Linked DNA regions of Diceros bicornis minor. The protein of the gene in region 1 purifies or fractionates together with the protein of each later gene. This does not show direct contact. Links are inferred from orthologs where the notes say so. Each region holds a gene or a part of one and is shown on either strand. Other genes may lie near its edges.

Region 1 (9,880 bases):
TGAGGCATTGGAGCCTGGCCCAGCCCTGGGATCTTGGGTGGATTGGAAGGAACACTCCTATGGCAGTCAGAAGATCTGGGTTCTAATCTCAGATCTGGCCCTGGGGTTTCTGTGTTGGTTGAAGCACAGACCTTCCTTCCCCTTCCCTGGGTACTTTCAGGTGAGAGGGTTGGGCCCTATGCCTTATGCATGACCTCTAAATTCTAAAATACTCCAGTTCGGTTTTGCTTCTAGGCAAAGTTACCCCATGGCAAGGCGCAAGCCAGAAGGGTCCAGCTTCTGCATGACCAGCCTGTCCGTGGCTCTGGCCTATTCCTTTAGCCCAGATGCCAGTACGCAACCCCACTCTCAGCTGGGCAACACCCAGCAACAAACAGAGTTAGGAAAGGTACAGGAGGCAGGCCTAATATAGGGAAGTCGGGTGTAGGGGAGAGCTGGGGACAGGAAGTGCCCCAAGACCTGTGGGTGTGGGGCAGGGGAGGTAAGGAGCTTTTGCCCTGACCTCCAGGCAAGTGGCCCTGCTCACTAGGAGGCCATGGTAAGACCCAGCTAAGCAGTCCTCGCCCATCTGTCTCCTCTGCCCAGGAACTGACCGGCACCATGCCCCACCAATACCCAGCACTGACCCCGGAGCAGAAGAAGGAGCTGTCTGACATCGCTCACCGCATCGTGGCTCCGGGCAAGGGCATCCTGGCCGCAGATGAGTCCACTGGTACGGGCAGGAGACAGTGGGAGGAGGGCCCAAGGTTGGGGGTGACAGGCTGATCCCCTTATTGCCATGTGATGCTGCCCTCCAGGGAGCATTGCCAAGCGGCTGCAGTCCATTGGCACTGAGAACACTGAGGAGAACCGGCGCTTCTACCGCCAGCTGCTGCTGACTGCTGACGACCGCGTGAATCCTTGCATTGGGGGCGTCATCCTCTTCCATGAGACACTCTACCAGAAGGCAGATGATGGGCGTCCCTTCCCCCAAGTTATCAAATCCAAGGGCGGTGTTGTGGGCATCAAGGTGAGGGGCCTGGGCCTCAGGATGTGAGATTTCAGATGGATTGGGGGAAAGAAATCCAGAGTAGTAGGCTAGGGGGTGAACACTGGGCTGGGAGCCTAGAGACTGTGGTGGAGTCTGGCACAGATCACCCCTGAATCATTATAAGAAAAGGTAGAAACTTAAGGACCTGCTTGGCATTGTTAATCCTTCCAATTCTAAGAGTGAGGTATTACTCTCATTGTGCGGATGAAAAACCAGAAGCTCAAGTCAGTAAAGTGTTTTGCTTGCAGAGTTGGGAAGTGATAGGAGGCCAGGCTCTCTGTCAAATAACATCCCTGTGTATCCTGCCTCATAGGATCAGAGACTATAAGTGAAAACATTTGCAAACCATAAGATGCCACCTGAGAGATTGAGTAAAGTTGGGGGCAGAGTGGGACTAGAGAGGAGAAGAGGGTACTAGAGATGATTTCTCCTGTTTTATGTTGTTGTCCTCACCCCAACAGGTAGACAAGGGCGTGGTACCCCTGGCAGGAACAAACGGCGAGACGACCACCCAAGGTGAGAACTGTTTGGCTCCCTGCCTTACCAACCAACCCACCCAGGTCGGTACCCCTTGGGTAACCAGGGTGAGTGGGAGCCACCTGCCCCCTCCTCTGCCATGCTCTGACTCCTCCGTCCCCTCTCCAGGGCTGGATGGGCTGTCTGAGCGCTGTGCCCAGTACAAGAAGGATGGAGCAGACTTTGCCAAGTGGCGCTGTGTGCTGAAGATTGGGGAGCACACTCCCTCATCTCTTGCCATCATGGAAAATGCCAACGTTCTGGCCCGTTATGCCAGCATCTGCCAGCAGGTGGGCCTGCAGGTCCCCAACAGGCCACCTCCCACCTCATTTTGTTCCAGAATGTCAGCTAGCCTGCCACACATCTCCCAGCATCCCTCTCTCCCTCACTTGAGGGCTTTGTAAGCAGAGGGCAGAACAGGGATTGTGTGGATGGATCTGAAGAGAAGGCTCTCGCCCACAGTCTGCTGAGGACTGTGCAGCTATGAGTCTCCGTCATCATGGAGATAAGATCTTGGCTGATGGCTGTAGAGAGCTGTAGGTGGGGCTCCGGGTTAGGAAGCCTCATGGCTACCCTGTCTTTCACCCCACAGAATGGCATCGTGCCCATCGTGGAGCCTGAGATCCTCCCTGATGGGGACCATGACTTGAAGCGCTGTCAGTATGTAACCGAGAAGGTAGGTTGTCTGGCTCCCTGGGCAGTGTGTGGTGGGCTGACCCGTCCCCCGACTCTAACCTACCCACTTTGGTCCTGCCCTGCGCTAGGTGCTGGCTGCTGTTTACAAGGCTCTGAGTGACCACCACATCTACCTGGAAGGCACCTTGCTGAAGCCCAATATGGTAACCCCAGGCCACGCCTGCACCCACAAATATTCTCACGAGGAGATTGCCATGGCAACTGTCACAGCATTGCGCCGCACAGTGCCCCCCGCTGTCACTGGTGAGACCCACACCCTCGTCTTGACCTCTGGGAGGTAGATGAACTGTACCCACAATCCTTGTGCCCACTTGGTCTGATTTCCAGGCCAGCTTCTAGGGGCTCCTACCAGCCAGTCTGCTGGATCTCTGACTACAATCCCTCCCCCCATTTCACCCCTCGCTATACAGGGATCACCTTCCTATCTGGAGGCCAGAGTGAGGAGGAGGCATCCATCAACCTCAACGCCATCAACAAGTGCCCCCTGCTGAAGCCATGGGCCCTGACCTTCTCCTATGGCCGAGCCCTGCAGGCCTCTGCCCTGAAGGCCTGGGGTGGAAAGAAGGAGAACCTAAAGGCTGCCCAGGAGGAATATGTCAAGCGAGCCCTGGTGAGGATGGCGCAGGAGGTGGGCAGGGTGGCCGGGTGGACGGGGTTCTGAGAAGAGACCTTCTTACTCTCGCTCCTTTCTCCTCTTAGGCCAACAGCCTCGCCTGCCAAGGAAAGTACACCCCAAGTGGTCAGGCCGGGGCTGCAGCCAGCGAGTCCCTTTTCATCTCTAACCATGCCTACTAAGTGGAGGTATTCTAAGGCTACCCCCTCAACACTCCAGGCCCGCCCCCTCCCACACTCATTCTTGAACAGGGGGCCTCATCCAGGGCTCTAGGCTACTTTTTCCCATCATTCTTGCCTCCCTGGTGACATTGGTGTGTGGTATTGTCTGTGTATGCTAACTCCATCGCCCTTTCCAGCCCACTGCCAATAAACAACTATTTAAGGGGGAGTCTGCTGTCCATTTCTGTGGTGTCCAGGGCAGGGGAGGGCCAGGGGAGGTGGCAGAGCCCAGAAGAAAGAGCCCTTGTTTTGTGTTCTTCCTTCTTGGGCAGGAAAAAGGTGAAGGGGGTGGGATAGGACCTTCCTATCCCCCTTGTTTTATACTTGCCCAGGGTTTCAAGAGGAGAGCTTGTGAAATTTTCTTCCAGCCACCAACTGCTCCACCCCCTTCTACCAGCAGCATCTGATAAGGCTCACAGTTGGGAAGTGTGTCTGTAACTGCTAGTCATGAGGTTGCAGACTCAGCCTCACTTTTATGCCCAGAACTCACGGGTGCAGAAGGCCCCAGTGAGAAGAACAGCCACTGACAAAAGCCAAGATTTCCTGGGTTTATGTGTTCTATATAAGATAACATAAATGTTCTATATGAGAGGTGCTGTTACCCTCAATTTATCCTTAAGGTTACAGTGCACCGAGACTGCACTGTTTCTTGGTGGAAACAAGATTGTTAATGCATATCTCCTTAATCTACACTGTTGAGCTTGCCCGTCTTCCCATTTTAACAGGAGATAGGATCAGAACTGGCTTCTTAGTCTTTGGGAACTCCTTGAAGAACCTGGAATCCTCTCTAACACCCCCCTCAACAATGCAGATAGACATACGCACAGAACTGTGGAGCTCAGGTTCCAGGTTAACAACTGAGCCTCTGTAGCTGCTGCATTCCATGAAGCCAGAATGGGCCCTGCACTTAGACCCCTATGCCATACTTTGAACCCTTCCCCAATTGCCCAGGCTGGGGTATAGCAGCAACTACACCAGGTCTTTTCAGCTATTAAAAATCCTAGTCATAACCAGGGAATAGTCCTGCCACTTCCCAAATTTCCTGTTATGGGCCCTTTCCTGTCTGAGCTGCCTGCTAGAGAAAGAAAAATCTTGACCTTTCTGATCTGTGGACCCACTGAATCCCTGTAGTGATCTTCGTAGAAGTGACTTATCTAGGACTAGGAGTTCTAGTTCTAGGAGTTTAAGAACTTGGTCCTTTCCTTCTCTCTGCACATTTGCATCTGTTGCCTGCATCCAAAACCAAACCCATTCCCTGTGCCCCTCCAAACAGGCCTCACTTCTGTGCCTAGCCTTACTCCACTTGGTGAAACAAAATCTGAAGTAAAGCAAATAAAAATTGAAGGTCAATAGAAGATAGCAAAAAGCACATTCCAAAAGGGCTCAGACATCATGAAGTTTGCTTCAAGACCAATTGCTTCCCCTCCCTGCAGCAAAGAGACCAGGGAAGCAGAGGACTTCAAACCCCAATTGTGGGAGTTTGGGACTTATTTTATGACAAAGTGAGTTCCAGAAAGAGTAAGTGACGGAGGAGAAGCTGGAGCTGAGAACACAGCTTTCCTGGGTTCAAATTTCAACCTTGCTTCAAACCCAAAATTCTTAGCTATGCGACCATGAACAAGTTAAGATCTTTGAGCCAGTTTCCTCTTCAAAAAAGGAATAAAATTGCAGACTATGGGAAGCAACTGACGGGTGTCCAGGGGACCATTCTGGAATCAGAGAGGTCGTGTTGACTGAGCCATAGGCTTGGTGTGGGGAAGGTGGACTCCCTTCTGCCTCTAACTTCGGAGGTCCTCCATGGCAGGGATTTCTCTGGGACCACTTAAGAGACATGGTTTGGCTCTTTCCAAAACCATGGAAAGAGATTTGGACCGGGATTCCTTCATCCATTGAACAAATACCTATGTATGCCTACTGTGCCAGGCCTTGTTCTAAGCACTGGGGCCGCAAGCGTGAACCAGACAAAGTACCATCCCTCTGAGATTGTAATGGGGGAGGCCAACTAAACCAGGTAAACAAAAACGTGTAACAAAGCTACAAACCGGAGCGCCCGCTCGGCTTCAGTCTCCCTAACCGAGATGGGAGGGGACTGGAGCGTGGTTTCTAGCAGCCCTCACAGCGCCAATCGGCTTAGCCCACAGTCACTTCCGCCCGCACGCTACCGGCGACCGGCTCCTTCGCCTCGGAGCGCTCCCTGGGCTTGAGGGGTGGGGCTCAGGGCGCGGCGTGGGAGGGGTTGAGTATGACGCCACGTCCGGCGCGCGGCGGCACTGGTCCCCTTTGCTTCCGCGGCGGGGCCGGAAGTAGAAGCGGCGGTGGCGGCGGCCCAAAGCGGAGGAAAGGAGCAAGGCAGGAGCTCGAGAGCCGGAGCCGGAGCCGGAGCCGGAGCAGCAGCGGCGGTAATAGTCCGAGACTCCTCTAGGCCACCGTCCCTAGCGCGGGGCCGCGGGGCTCGCGGAGCTAGCCGGGGGGTAGCCAGTGCCATGGGACGCTGGGGGTCCGGGAGGCGCTGTGAGGGGCGGCGGGGGTCGGGGGAGCCGGGCTGGCTCCAGAATTGAGTTGCCCTCCCGTCCCGGCGCCCCCCACGGACACTGATCCGCGGGCTCGTCTTCGCCTTTCCCAGGAGACCCCTGTGCGGTGCGGAGGGGGCGGCGGCCCTGGCTCTAACCCGCGCCGGGGGTGGGCCATGGCGGAGATCAGCGACCTGGACCGGCAGATCGAGCAGCTGCGGCGCTGCGAGCTCATCAAGGAGAGCGAAGTCAAGGCCCTGTGCGCTAAGGCCAGGTGAGCCCGGCGGCCCCAGGGAAGGGAGGCCCGGCCGCTGTCCACGGGTTCCGGCCTGGGGCAAACCCAGCTGAGAACTTTGGGCCTGGCTCATTCTGGAAGCTTTCTCCGAGAGCAGCAGAATAGGGCCACTTTCCTCGAGGAACAACCAGCCTGCTGGGGGAAGAAAGACCTGGATAAGGACACTTAGAAGTATTAGATGATGTGTTTTCAGTGGAGTTAGAGCGTTGTAGAAAGTACGTAGGAAGCTTAGGGAAACAGCCTTATCTGTCGGGGGAACAGAGAAGGCTTCTCGGAGGAACTGAACTTTGGGGGTAGACTTGGAAGAATAATATGATAAAAGGGAATATCAGCAGGAACAAAGTTCAAGGCAGAAAAGCTAAAGACTCTGTGGTTTATAAAATTCTTTTAATTCCAACAACAACTCTTAAAGGTGGGTGGAATTGTCTCCATTTTACAGGTGAGGACTCTCATGTTCAGAGTCAACCAGCAAGTGAGGGACGGAGTCAGAAACTAGTTCTCCGTGTCCTGTCCCCTTTTCAGGCCGTTAAGGCAAGAAGGTGGAGTTGGATCACTCTCATGTTCATTGTGGGAGCCTAAGAAATGGTAGCAGCTAAGCCAGGGTGGAATTAAGCATGCTATGGAGAGAGGCCCAACTCATAGTTCTGTAGGAAGTAGGATGATGTCGTGGTTACGAGCCCAGGCTTTGGAATGTGATGGCTCTAGGTTGGAATCTGAGCTCTGTCAGTTATTAGCTGTGTTGGTGATCTTGAGGTCTCTGACACTCAGTTTCTTCATCTGTAAAGTGGGAATAGTAGCACTTAATAAGATGGTTGTGAAAGTCAGTAAGTTGGTGCTTGGGATTAGCAGAGAGCTTTGGTACAATGTGAGTGCTCGGCAGTCTTTAGGTGGTGGTGTTATTACTGCATGGAAAGAGGGCAATGCTGATATGAACTGAAGTCATCAGGGAAGACTTTTAAGAGAAGGTGGCCTTGAAAAATGAAAATAATTTGGGTAGCTGATGGGAGCAGGGCCAGTGAGGAGGGGCATTCCAGGCAGAGTGACAGTAAGAGTGGAGGCCCTGAGATGTGTGGGCACCAATGAGGAGACCAGTTACCTGCCTCCTTGGTGCTACTGCTTGACTGTGGCTTCCCCCAAGATGGGGAATTGTGGGAAAAGAGCCAGCAGGCTTACCCTGCATTTGTTGAACAACAGGCCCACTATTAGCCTGGCTTTGTACTGGCAAAGAACTTACGGTCGTTTCCTCCCCACAGCAATCTTGGGAGGTTGGGATTATTTACTCCATTTTACAGAACAGGAAGCCATGATTCCTACAGGCCTAGTGGCTTGACTAAGATCACCCAGAGAGAAAGTGGCAGGGCTGGGTTCTGGGCCTGTGGCTGTCAGAGGCTGCATGGGTTTGGTGAACAGGCAAGGCCCCTTTTTGAATGCTTGTCTGTGGCTCTTCTGTGTTTTGCCAGCCCAAGAAAACTTCCCTGACCAGACCCTAAGATGTTTTTAGTCATCCCTGATTACTCAGTCTTGATTGGCATTTTTAGGAACTTAAATCAGTTGCTGTCTGGCACTGTTCTGCCTAGCACTATTCTTTTTCCCCGTAAGTCTTATCTGCCCGCAGGCCTGGCTCAGTTTGGTGGTGGTGATAGCTAATGCTTAAATAGCACTGTGGAGATTTCAGAAAAACAGAGAGGTTATGTGTTCAGGCTTTGTTGCTCTTTGCACAGCCCTATGGAGTAGGCAGCGCAGGGTGAGGATTTCACAGAAGAGGAAACTGAGCCTCAGAGAAGATAATGTTTTGCCTGTAGTCTCACAGCTGGTTGGAGGGGAGGTTGGTTTTGGATCCAGGTCTTGCGCTATACTCCATGCTCATTGACAGCCAGGCAGAGACATTTAGACTGTGTGAGAGGCGGCAGGGAGCTGTAGAGGACTGAGGGCTAGGCGGGTCTTGCCCAGTTGAAGCTGAGATGGAGCCAGGAGGCACTAGGCTGGGGCCTGAGTTGGCCACCATTATCGCAGGCCCAGTCTGAAGGGGGGCCAACTCTAGCACCTGGCCATGGCCTTCTGGGGGACCCACCAGGAGTCCAGGCCAAGGCTGGTAGTGTCAGAGCTTCAGCTTGCTCAGAGGGTACGTAGACTCAAATCCTTGGAACTAGAGAGGCCTGAAGTGTGTGAGTTGAACTTGCTCCTGTTAAAGACGTCAGCATATGAGACGTGCAGAGGGTTTTGAATCAGGTGGCCTCCAGTATGAGTCCCGGCTTCGTCAGCTATAAACAATATGAGCCTGATCAAGTCACTTGATCTCTCCAAGTCTTTGAAATCATTATGGAGCTCAGATGAGATTCTGCATATCCAGGAACAGGGCCTGGCTCTTTTGTAGGCACTTCCTAAAGGTAATGCTCCTCGCGGAAGTCAAGGGGAGCAGGGGCGAGCCCTGAGAGGGCTGGTGATATGCTGCAAGGGACAGAGCTGGGGTCGGAGGCTGGGCCTTGTTCCCAGACCGCGCTGGGGCCCTACTGGCACTGAGGTGGGGTTTTGACTCACATCTTGGGAAAGGGCTGGCATAAATTCTCAGGAAATTGGGCTCCTGGGGTCTAATTCTGCCATTCTCTAGCTTTGTGACCTTGATCCTTTCCCTTTTTTCTCTAAGCCTGTTTCTTTTTTTTTTTCCTAGAGATTATTATTTTTTTTTTGGTGAGGAATATTGGCCCTAACATCTGTTGCCAATCTTCGTCTTTTTGCTTGAGGAAGATTGTCCCTGAGCTAACGTCTGTGTCAGTCTTCCTCTCTTTTGTATGTGGGATGCCGCCACAGCATGATCTAAGCCTGTTTCTTTATCTGTCAGATGAGGATGAAAAGAACCTCCCGTAGCCGGTTGGAAAGGTCGTTATAAGCAGTTGATGTGGGAGGATGTTCACCACAAGATGCAGGACAGGTGGGGGGGCCTGGTTGCTATATGGCCCCTTGGACCACCACCAGTGCCTCCCACCGTTCCGGGAAAGCCACGGCACACCTCCCTCGAGCCGCCTTTGTTATCCAGAGCGCCCTGAGGGTCGTCCAGGGAGCTCCGCATCCAGCGGGAGGAGACTGGCAGAAAGAGTGAGGGCTGAGCCGGTGCCTGGGGCCCTCCCACGTCAGGATAGCTGGGGAAGAGCCGGGCCCTGCAGCCAGGCTGCCTTGGTTCAGGTCCCGTCTATACAAGAGTTTCTTCATCTGAGCAGTGGGCATCGTCACAGTGCCTGCCTTTGAGGGTGATGATTGCATGCATCATCATCTGTGCAAAGCTCTTACCACAGTCCTGGCGCCTGATGTGAACTGGAATGTTCACTCCTGCCATCATCAAGGACAAAATCTGGAAATAGGGTGCTACTGAAATTGGGTGTCTAACTGAAAAAGTGGTTGTATGTCATGCTCACTCCAGTAGAAGTAGACTGCACTGCAAAAAGAAATGAAGGAACAAACTCCTCTCTTCCTCTAAATAAAGCATGAAAAAGTAGCAACAGCGTATCACTTGGAAGGGGAGCACATCTGATCACAGTGTATCACATCTGGCGAGTAGCCTGCCCAGGGCACCCCCTGTGCCTTTGGGCATTCTGGGAGAAGGCCCCCGTGATGAGTAGAGAGGGGCTGCAGAGCTCAGCCAGGAACACAGTCTCAGAGCGCTTGAGGCTGAGGGAGGAGCGTGAGCAGAGGGCTCTGTGGAGAGGAGGAGGGGGTCTGTTTTGTGAGACTGAGTGCTGGCCGTGTGAAAGGGAGCAGCAGGGAGGGGCAAGGCCAGGAAAGTCACGTCCTGCTTGGAAGGGCTTTGAATGCTGAAGCAAGAGCCTGAGCTTTGGCCTGTTGGCAGCGGGGAGCCATGGAAGGGTGTTGAGCGGTGGGGGCTGTGGTCAGCCTATCCTGGGGGAATTGCACACCTCACTCCTGCCCCCTAGAGGTTCAAGGACCACCTCATATCCTCCCCTCCCCCCCCCAAAAAAGGTCAGGAATTGGGCTGGGCTGGCCTGG
Region 2 (10,209 bases), about 1.7 Mb from region 1:
TTCTTCAATTAGATTCAACTATGTAATTGATGGAAAACTAACTTTTTGAAGGGTTATTCTGGATCATTCATACCCTTTAATACAATTAAGTTGATATAATGTGCTGACTTTCTGAATACATTTAAAAGGATAAATAATCCTTTCAATGCAGAGGAAAAGAACAGACATTGCTCTAGCACAGAATCAAAACCAAGGGAACTATAAAGCACACTTGGGTGTTCACTGTGCAAACCACAGGGAATAATGCCTGAAAGTCACGACTAGGTCATAACAACTTGCAGTCCATAGGACTATTATATCCTTTCTATAGCTAATCTGAAATTAATTTACGTCATTTACTAATAAAAAATAAACAGGGAGACTAAGAGTCTGCTTTCTCTCTCCTCCCAGGAAATTCTTCCTGACATTGGATTAGTACTCACGGAGGTTAGCTTTAACCTTGGAATTACTCAGGGCTAAAAAAGTTGTGGAATTCTTATTTAAGTTTTTGGTTGATTTTTTTCTTATAAACATGACTAGTCTTCAATATCTCATGTCTAGACCTCAATTATTAACCTACGTTACACATAGATATAAACCATATATGCCATGCAACTTGATAAAAAAACCTTTCAGGCCAAGGAAGGTTCCTTAACTTGTCCATGATCACAATAAATTTGTGTCAGACCAGGATAAAGACTCTGATTTCCATATTTAATCCTTCCTGTTCGTTACATTCTACTGTACGGCCTCAGTTACTATTAACACATCAATTTGCATAAATAAAACTCATATTATTTCCTGTACACAATAAACATCACAGAAAAATGAGAATCATGTATACTTCAGAAATGTAGAGATCCGCCTGCTTCAGCAGCTCTCCAATGATTAGGACATTGGAAGTGGTACCATCACCAGTTATGTCATCCTGCGCTGTTGCTACTTTAGCTATTAAGGAGGCTGTTGGATGTTGAATTTGCTGCAAGTAGAAAAAGAAAAAAATTACTTAAACAACTTAAAATGAAACAGTCCAAATATACCTTAAAATGTGTGAAGGGCCTCCTTAAGTGCTATCCATTTGTACAAACTGCCCAAGTGTTCAGCTACATATTACTTTTAAAAACTCAGCATTATGGGGCCAGCCCTGTGGTGTACCAGATAAGTGCTGACGCTCTGCTGCTGGCGGGCCGGGGTTCGGATCCCAAGCGTGCACCTATGCACCGCCTGCCAGGCCATGCTGTGGTGGCATCCCATATAAAGTGGAGGAAGACGGGCACAGATGTTTGCCCAGGGCCAGTTCCTCAGCAAGAAGAGGAGACTTGGCATGAATGTTAGCTCAAGGCTGACCTTCCTCACAAAAAAAAAAAAAAACCCAAGAACTGTCTAAAAGCTCAGCGTTAGCTATTTTGCATATCAGTTTATGAGGACCAAAACATTTTCATATATAAACTTACTTCTCAGACTATCTCCACTTTACTGATGAGGAAATCTGAGGCTCAGTTAAGGTTTACTCAAGGTGATGGAGCTAACAAGCAATAGTAACAAATAATTTCAAATACATGCATGCCTCTTTATGACAAATCTAGAGCTCTTGTGAGAATAAACCAGGTACCTTCTAAAATGAAAGCCCAACAGCCTCCAGTATTACTTGGCATTGACACCTCCCCCCCCAAAAACATAGCCCTCTCAGCAAACATCATCAGTGGATACTAAATCACTGTGTGGAAGGGTTTTAGAAGAACAGGATATTCATGTCGCCTATGTCACCCACCGATTCTTAATTACAAAGAATCCAATCAAGGCTCCTACCCTGCTTTTGGGTGTCTCCTTATTTTGCTTTAATCTAGAACAGTTCCCCAGCCTTTCATGTCTTTGGGGACATTGACAGTTTTAATAATCTAGGCCAGTGATCTTACAGACTATCTCATTATCTAAAGTTGCTGATGATAACCACTTTTGGCACGACTACTACATAAGTGATACTGTATTACTTCTCACTGTCTTTGCTGTATAATTTTTTGTTAAACTATAAATTTTTAATGTGCTTCTCTGTATTTATGTGTTATTTCACAATAAAAAATTAAGCAAAACAAAAAAAATCACATAGATATGGCTTTCCTTTTTTTTTTTTTTTCAAAGATTTTATTTATTTATTTTTCCCCCCCAAAGCCCCAGTAGATGCTTGTATGTCATAGCTGCACATCCTTGTAGTTGCTGTATGTGGGACGCGGCCTCAGCATGGCCCGAGAAGCGGTGCGTCGGTGCGCGCCCGAGCTCCGAACCCGGGCTGCCAGCAGCAGAACGTGCGCACTTAACCGCTAAGCCACCGGGCCGGCCCAATATGGCTTTTCTGACATCAAATTTAAACTATGACTCCAACTGTTGTCTGCTAGCACAGTCCACCACTTAGCCCACTAAAAACAAATAGAAAAGGACTAGGTTATCTAGTCCTTCTGAAGATACTTACAAATGTCTGGATGTTGAAGGCATGCAGGGTACACTACTACCAAAATCCTAAATTTTATATTGAACTCAAACCACAAGCAAGTCATTTCCTTTTCTTGAATTTGAACTGCTAGGTTTTAGGAACTCAGGGACGAATAAAATGATTGCTCCTCTCAATAATTTCATGTTCTTGGTCACTCGGACTTTGAAAAATGGCAGAGTTTTATCTCCCTTTCAGATGGAGGTGGAGTGATGAGATGTAATAGAGTACTGCTGTTTCAAAAGTGCCCACTTGATGATGTTAGCTTTTTCTGCTTTTCAAATTTTATTAGAATTGATTTTAATCATTACAATCCTTTAACCAAACCCTTAAATGGCAAGAGTAGGGATTCAAAAATAAGTCTATCAGACTCCAGGGTTCCTCACTGTATTATCACTGATACTATTACTGATTACATTCCTTTTCTACTCCCTCCATCGTCTGAAGGACTAGCTGTTGAGAGCTGATATGATTTTCTGCTACCTTGAGAATGAACATTAAAAATCTTCCGACAAATCAAACGTGCTACGGAAAACCGAGGCATTTCTGACTTAGCACAGCAGCTTCTCACCATTTCATGAAGCAGCACGTTGCCATCTTTAGTAAGCTTGATGTCTCCAGCACCAGAAACAAGCCTGTGCAACGGGCAGAAATGAATCACAGAATGACTTTTTCAATAGAGATCAAATTAAGAGTCCTATAAAAATCGAGCTTTACCCAGACCCCAGAGAGCCTGGGCAGGTGGGGTGGGTTCTCTCCGCCCGGTAACAGGAACGGTGCAGCGCCCACCCCCACCCTTCAGAGAGACAGTGTGCTGAGTCCTCAGGGTCGCTAAGTCTCAGCGCAAGGGGGAGCGCAGCGCACGCGGGCAGCTTTGTTCTCCGCGGAGGCGGCACCCACTACAAGAGGAAACAGCCCGGGCAGGAAATAGGTCCTACCCGGAGAACACGAGGAGTAAGGGCCGCAGGGCGAGCGCGGAGTCCCGGGAGCGGCAGGCTCGAGGCCGCGGTCCCCGGCGCCAGGCCCGCGGCGGCGCGAGGTGCGCGGCGCGCCCCAGCCCTCCCGCCAGCCCCGCCTTACATCTTCATGGTGCCCTTAGGCCCCAAGTTGGTTCTGAGCACGTCCTGCAGTCCCCGGGCCGCGCTGATGTTCACCGCCAACGCCGCCTGGGCTCGGGCAACCTCGGCCTTGGGGTTCAGGGTCTTCACGGCCGCCATGGCTGACCCAGCAGAGGAAGAGTAAGAGAACCGAAATCAGAAACGCCCAAAGCCGGCTCAGCGTGGCCGGGAGGCGCTATCCGGAGTCTTCTGGAAAAGTCGGGCACGCCTGGCCCGCCCCCAGCGTGCGCGCGCGCCGCCGCCATTGGCCCGCAGGTCGGACGGCGCAGCTCATTGGGTCGCGGCCGCCTGCGGCCCCGCCCCTCGCGCCGTGGCTACGGCGCCATTGCGCAGGGGAGGAGCCTGTTCCTCGGCAATAAGAGCTCAGCGGGTCCTGGTGCCTCAGTGGGCCGGGGCCCTGCTCTCCGCACCTGGGGCGTGAGGACGTAGGCGGCGCGCGGCGCGCAGGCCGCTCAGCGCTAGGCAGGGCCCGTCGGCTGCGCGCGTCTGGGCGTGACGGGGGAATGAGCGCCGTTTCCTGGGCGTCTCTGGCCGCACGGAGTAGAGTGAGCTCCTCCCTCCCCGACTCGAGCGGTTTGCCGTGTTTCCGCTCCTTGCTTCTTTTGTTCCTTTCACCAGAGTTTTCTTGACTGTATACTGCATGCTCGACGACGTTCTAGGTGCTGCGGGGATACAGAAGTGAATCTGATAAGGACCCTCGCCCGGGGTCCTAGGTGTTTTAAGCCTGGGGAAGATGAAGAGATAGAATACAATGTAGAAAGTGCTGGATGCCTTTAGAAAGCTACGGGATTGGTGCCATGGCAGCTGGAGAGAAGCACGAGTCAGTCCACCCTTTGGGCTCAGGAAGACTGTTGAGGTCTGAGACCCTCAAGGCAGGTTTGAAAACTCAAACTTGATTGAGCAGTGGTGTCCGGCCTGTGAGATGACTCCTTTTTAAGACAAAAAAATTCTGAAAGATGTCCACAATTGTTCTGTAGTGTTTAGTCCCCTTCAAATACCAGGTATTTAGTAATCTTTTGTATTTTATTTTAATAATGAAAATTGTTCAGAATTCAAAAGGTGCCAAAGGGCGTATGGTGAAAAGTAACTCTTCCTTGCTCTTCTAGTTCAACTTCCTCCATACAAGCACAGTTACGTTTAGATACTCTGAACTCCCCAGATGCTTTCTGAATTTATAAATAAATATAAGCATTTTCCCCCACACAAAGTGGAAATTTATGATACACACTGTTGGGTGTATTATACTTAAAGTATCTTGGAGAATGTACCATATCAGTGCAAATAAGGATTGCTCATTCCTATTAACAGCTGCATGATATTTTTTGTAAGAATGGCATGATTAGCCAGTCACCTACTGGTTGACATTTAAGTTGTTCCCAGTCTTCTGCTATTCAGGCTGCAATGAATATCCTGGGGAAAATTATAAAATTATCATAAGTATATTTGTTACTATAAATATGTATGTTTGAGAATGATGAAAGCATCTATATATGTTTGAGTAATAGCATTAAACGGTAGAAGGAGACTAGTGATTAGTTCTGCAGATGGTACTTGGTGTGCATGCAGATTTAACTACTGTTGGATGTGTGGGGAGACATGAATGGAGATGAAGATTGTGGAATTTCAGGCATCTGCTTGCAGGTAGTGAAAGGGGGATTGGAGACTTCCACATTCCTGAGGTGCGATATGAAGGGCACACCAAAAACTCAGTAATTGAGATAAATAATACTTTAATGGAATATTTTAAAAAAATTGATGCAAAACATCCACAGTGAACAAGTATCAGAATTTTAAATTATTCATCTGCAGTAATATCATGCAAGGCCTTAGACAAAGTCTCAGCAAAACAGAAGGATCCGCATGATCCCTCTAGAGGCAATCTGTTTACAGATATCATTCTATTGGTCTTGGTTATCACACTTTCAAGCAAATTAATAATTTTCATTATTTGATGCAAAATAGAATAGCAAGGGAGTGTTGCCTATATGCTAATGTATGTATAGAATGGAAGAACTTTAATATGCCTTTTGGAGAATTTCAAACAAAAAGTCACATTGTGGGAGCACATCCATTTCAGTCCATGGTTGAAGAAATTGAGGTGGCAGCAGGTGCTTAGCCATTTGATTCAGCAGGGATTTCAATATAGAAGAAAATTTTAAGGAAAGAACTGTAATGAGGCAGAGTGGTGTATTAGAAAGAATCCTAGAGTCAAAAAATTTGAGTTTGAATTCTAATTTTTCGATGTTTACCAGTATGTCACCTTGGATGTTACTTAACTTTTTTGAGTCAATTTTATAATCTATAAAGTAGGGGTAAGTGACGTCCTAGAGAAAATTAAATGATATTGCATGTGTAACATGCTTTGTATTCTGCCAGACATGGAAGGTGTTAAGTCAATTGCTACTACTGCATTCATATAATGTAGTTAACTCTATATAATTTTCTTACCACCTTTACAAACATTGTCTCATTTGATCCTAATACGAATGCTTTGAAGTTGATAGGTCAGGTATTATTAAACCAGCTTCACAGATGATTAAATCAACACAAAGAGAGGTTAAATGGCCAAGTCCAGGTCGTACTATGTTGTATTAGGGGAGAGCCAAAAACCTAGATTTCACCATTGGCTCCTCCCTTTGCCTCAGTCCCCCTATTCACATATTCCCTGAATGTTTTCACATTTACTTGATAGCTATTGCCTCTCTTCACTGTCAAAATTGACTATAGTGGAGCCATTTTAAAATGAAGTGCAAGCTGCCTTTCTAGAGAAACTGCCTTGCTGTTTGAACCTTGAACAGGGCCAATCCTTTGGACTAGGCAAAAATGGCAATTATTTTACAGATAATTGTTTCAGAAGTCAGCAGGAGAACGGACATTCTGATCTCAAAGACTGAAGATTGTGGACTTTCTGAAGAGAAAATCAATAGTCAGTCAATGTTTAGCCAAGACTAGCTCTCTGCCTCCAACTCCGATTAAAATTCTTTGTAATAAAACCTTCCTTCTTTGCCTTTAAAAGCCCCTGACTCTTATACCTAAGTGGGACACTATTTGGGTTTCTTCCTGAATGTGTGCTCCCTAAGTTGCAATTCTTTAGACCCCAAATACACTTTTTGCTTTTGTCAATGCAAATAATCTGTAATCAATCTATAAATCAAAATTGGGGTGAGTTTATTATGAGCCAGGTCTGAGAACTATAGCCTGGGGCCTTCCTTCCCAAGGAAGGAAGGGAACCAAAGAAGTGGGGTGTGCAGAGGGTTATATACTGTCTTGGAACAGAGAGCATACATCACATATGACAGGAATATCTCTTTTACTACTGTCACGAGATGCTTAGCTGGCACAGCAGTGCAGTGGTCAGCAGATCAGTGGTCACAAGGTGAGCATAGCAGGTCAGTGATTAATCCTTAGTTTCTAGGAAGAGATGCTTATCCTTAAAGCTGGTATGGGGAGAAGTTATATCCTTATCTTTTTTTTTTTTTTTTTGTGAGGAAGATCAACCCTGAGCTAACATCCATGCCAGTCCTCCTCTTTTTGCTGAGGAAGACTGGCCCTGGGTTAACATCTGTGCCCATCTTCCTCCACTTTATATGGGATGCCACCACAGCACGGCCTGACAAGCGGTGCATTGGTGCACGCCGGGGATCCGAACCTGGGTCACCAGCAGCGGAGTGCGAGCACTTAACTGCTATGCCACGGGGCCGGCCTACATCCTTATTTTTAAGGGCATCATTCTTGTCTTTGGGACATAGTAAATGTTTAAAGCAGATGTACAGTGCATGCTCAACAGGCCTTGTCAGGCCTTTTTGGAAAAACGAGGTCAGGCCGAATTAGTTTTACACCAAGTGGCTTCCTCATATACTCCAATATATCCTGTTGCTTTTCATTTATTTATCATTTTCCCCCTTTTGATCTATAATCTTGATAGAAAGCATTGATGATCAAAATATTGTCCCTCAGTGCCAGTGTGGTTGCTGCCTGCCCTGGATCCATCATGTCCTTTGATGCTAGGCTTTCATCTCATTTATTTGCCCAGTTATCCACGTTAGGGGAAAATAGTGAGACAAGCATAGATGTATATATTAACAGAGAAAACATTTCATAGGTTATATAATTTTTCAATTAATTTTAGTTTATTGCACAAGCATTGTACATGTGCTTTTACCTGACTCCTTGTGCTCACATTGTTTATAATTATAGAACAGGTACAGTAACAATGATGACAATTCAATATTTGAAAAGATTAGTTTTGAAATGAGTTCTTTGGCATAGTCTTTATCAGAAAAGAAAATTCACCCAGGGTTGTAAGATCCCTCAGTCATCTCAAGTCACTCAGCAGTCATTACTCTAGCCTGCATGCCAGTCTTACAACACTGAGTAAAGAAAATAGTAATTAGAGGGCCAGTCCTGTGGCTTATCGGTTAAGTGCTTGCACTCCGATGCTGGCGGCCTGGGTTCGGATCCCGGGCATGCACCGATGCACCGCTTCTCCGGCCATGCTGAGGCCGTGGCCCACATACAGCAACTAGAAGGATGTGCACCTATGACATACAACTATCTACTGGGGCTTTGGGGAAAAAAGGAGGAGGATTGGCAATAGATGTTGGCTCAGAGCCCATCTTCCTCAGCAAAAAAGAGGAGGATTAGCATGGATGTTAGCTCAGGGCTGATCTTCCTCACAAAAAAAAAAAAGAAAATAGTAATTAGAGTATTATGACTAATACAAGAATTCCAATGAGTAATAGAAATAGGAATTGCAATCTGGATCAAAAAAGGGAACCAATACCTGAAGAGGACCAACCAAACAAAGCAAGACTGGATGTAGAATCGCTTAAGGCATTCACCTATTTTTTTCTTCATGTGCTTTAGCAGAGATGACCCATTGGAAGATTCATCAGGTATAAAAAACACAGCATTCAGTTTGAATGATTGTACATGTACCACCTTGGGATGCAGTTGAAATGTCTAAGGCCATTTTATTTTGAAGGACAGCCTTTCTCATTAAAGACATTTTAGTATTTAATAAGTCTGTTCCTGCTTGACTATTGCTAATGGTTTGTTGAGTAAATTTAGTCAGAGCTTCCATATGTGATATAACATCTTTTACCCCAAGGAAGGAACAAATATAGCCGCTAGATGGCCATGCCAGTGGAACACTGAACGAGCCCATCTGGCCTTAAAGAGAGGAACATTGGCAACAGATGTTAGCTCAGGGTGAATCCTTGCCTGCATCAAAGGGAAGCTGAGGGTGCAGTGTTTTAGCCATCTGGGCAGAGGCTATGCCAGAGGTTTGTTCAACATAACCACTGAGTTCCATTGGGAGCCACCTGATAAATGCCTGGCCTTCGAGACCAGTCTGTTCTAAATCAATCACTTTCTTTAAGTATGGTAGTATTCTGAAAACCTTAAATGGAACAATTATAAAATGGGTATATGGCTTAAGCATTACAAAGGTTTAAATGAGGAGATATAAGGTTGGGAATATAGGCCTAGTCCAGAGTTTTGGGACAGCTGTCTACAACAGATGCCATCTTCTTCTCCTGGTTTGGAGATATTTTCATTGGTCAGTTGAAGTCAGGTATCAGAAATAGGAACTGAAACCCACTCAGGTGGAGAAGGCTTTTTTGATTGAGTCTATGACTTGGGATTCGGCAGCATATGAATTGGTTAAAAGTACCTGGTATGGTCCTTTCCAATAAGGTGGCAAAGAGTCTTTTATCTAGTCTTTTCCAATGGACAAAATCTCCAGATTGAAGTCCGTGATCCTTAAGGTCTTCATCTCCTGGGAGCTCACTGTGAAAAGAATCAGCTACCAACCTCTCGTATCTTTAAGTGTCTCAATTAGACCTTGACAATAATGTAAGATATCGCCTTTAAGCAAAGTTGGTCCATACATTCCTTTGTCTAATTGCATAGGCTATCCAGCTAATATCTCGAAAGGGGTCAGCTGATGTTTACCAAAGGGTATAGATCTAAGATTGAGGAGCACTAGCACGAGGGATTTTGGTGGTGAGAGATTAAATGCTTCTGAACGCTTTGCCAATTGAGCTTTGATTGTGCCATTAGTTAAAATATGGCCAAATAGATTTAACTATTTGTCCAGTGAAATGAGTTCTCCAGTCACTGTGTAACTTGGTAGGAATTCCTCAAACAGGAATTATCCTTTCCAATAATAATTTACCTAAAGCTGTTGCTCTTCTGTAAGGAAAGGCCTCAACCCAATGTGAGATACAGATCATTACAAGATATATTTATATCCTTGAGATGGTCGCATTTGAACAAAGTCCAATTGCCATACCTCAAAGGGTCCCTTAGGAAGGTGAAAGTGGCCTTGTGTCCCATTAAATGGTTTTCCTAGATTATATTTTGGGCATATAGCACAACAAATATAGGCTTTATGGCCCACTGTGGGAGAGTTTCCAAAAGTATTGTTTCCCCCATAAAATAATCTTTTTCAGGTGCCCAATGGGTTAATTGGTATACATGCTGGAGCAGTGGCAATTGTGCTCCAATGGGCACTATTTTTTTTTTAAGGCCCAAACTATATCTGCATGGTGGTGTCAAAAATTCCCCCTTTTGATGCCACCTTTGTTTCTCTTCTTCCATGGCAATTTCTTGAGCCTGTAGAAG

Evidence for each region.
Region 2: the proteins of PPP4C (region 1) and CCT6A purify together in Homo sapiens (affinity purification with mass spectrometry; 5 studies listed by BioGRID and IntAct, with this or other methods). This does not show direct contact. The link is inferred for Diceros bicornis minor from reciprocal best matches to the Homo sapiens genes PPP4C and CCT6A.

Annotation. Positions count from the first base shown.
Region 1 is NC_080765.1:21,873,750-21,883,629, forward strand, and holds the start of PPP4C (serine/threonine-protein phosphatase 4 catalytic subunit), read left to right. Parts: upstream 1-5,386; 5' UTR 5,387-5,475; intron 5,476-5,699; 5' UTR 5,700-5,762; coding exon 5,763-5,860; intron 5,861-9,880. Other genes in the region: ALDOA (fructose-bisphosphate aldolase A), read left to right, coding at 248-388, 586-712, 798-1,009, 1,492-1,546, 1,676-1,836, 2,139-2,222, 2,311-2,485, 2,653-2,852 and 1 more. UniProt on the Homo sapiens protein: Protein phosphatase that is involved in many processes such as microtubule organization at centrosomes, maturation of spliceosomal snRNPs, apoptosis, DNA repair, tumor necrosis factor (TNF)-alpha signaling, activation of c-Jun N-terminal kinase MAPK8, regulation of histone acetylation, DNA damage checkpoint signaling, NF-kappa-B activation and cell migration.
Region 2 is NC_080765.1:20,155,092-20,165,300, forward strand, and holds the start of CCT6A (T-complex protein 1 subunit zeta), read right to left. Parts: upstream 3,748-10,209; 5' UTR 3,682-3,747; coding exon 3,545-3,681; intron 3,100-3,544; coding exon 3,036-3,099; intron 959-3,035; coding exon 824-958; intron 231-823; exon of another isoform or gene 97-230; intron 1-96. UniProt on the Homo sapiens protein: Component of the chaperonin-containing T-complex (TRiC), a molecular chaperone complex that assists the folding of actin, tubulin and other proteins upon ATP hydrolysis.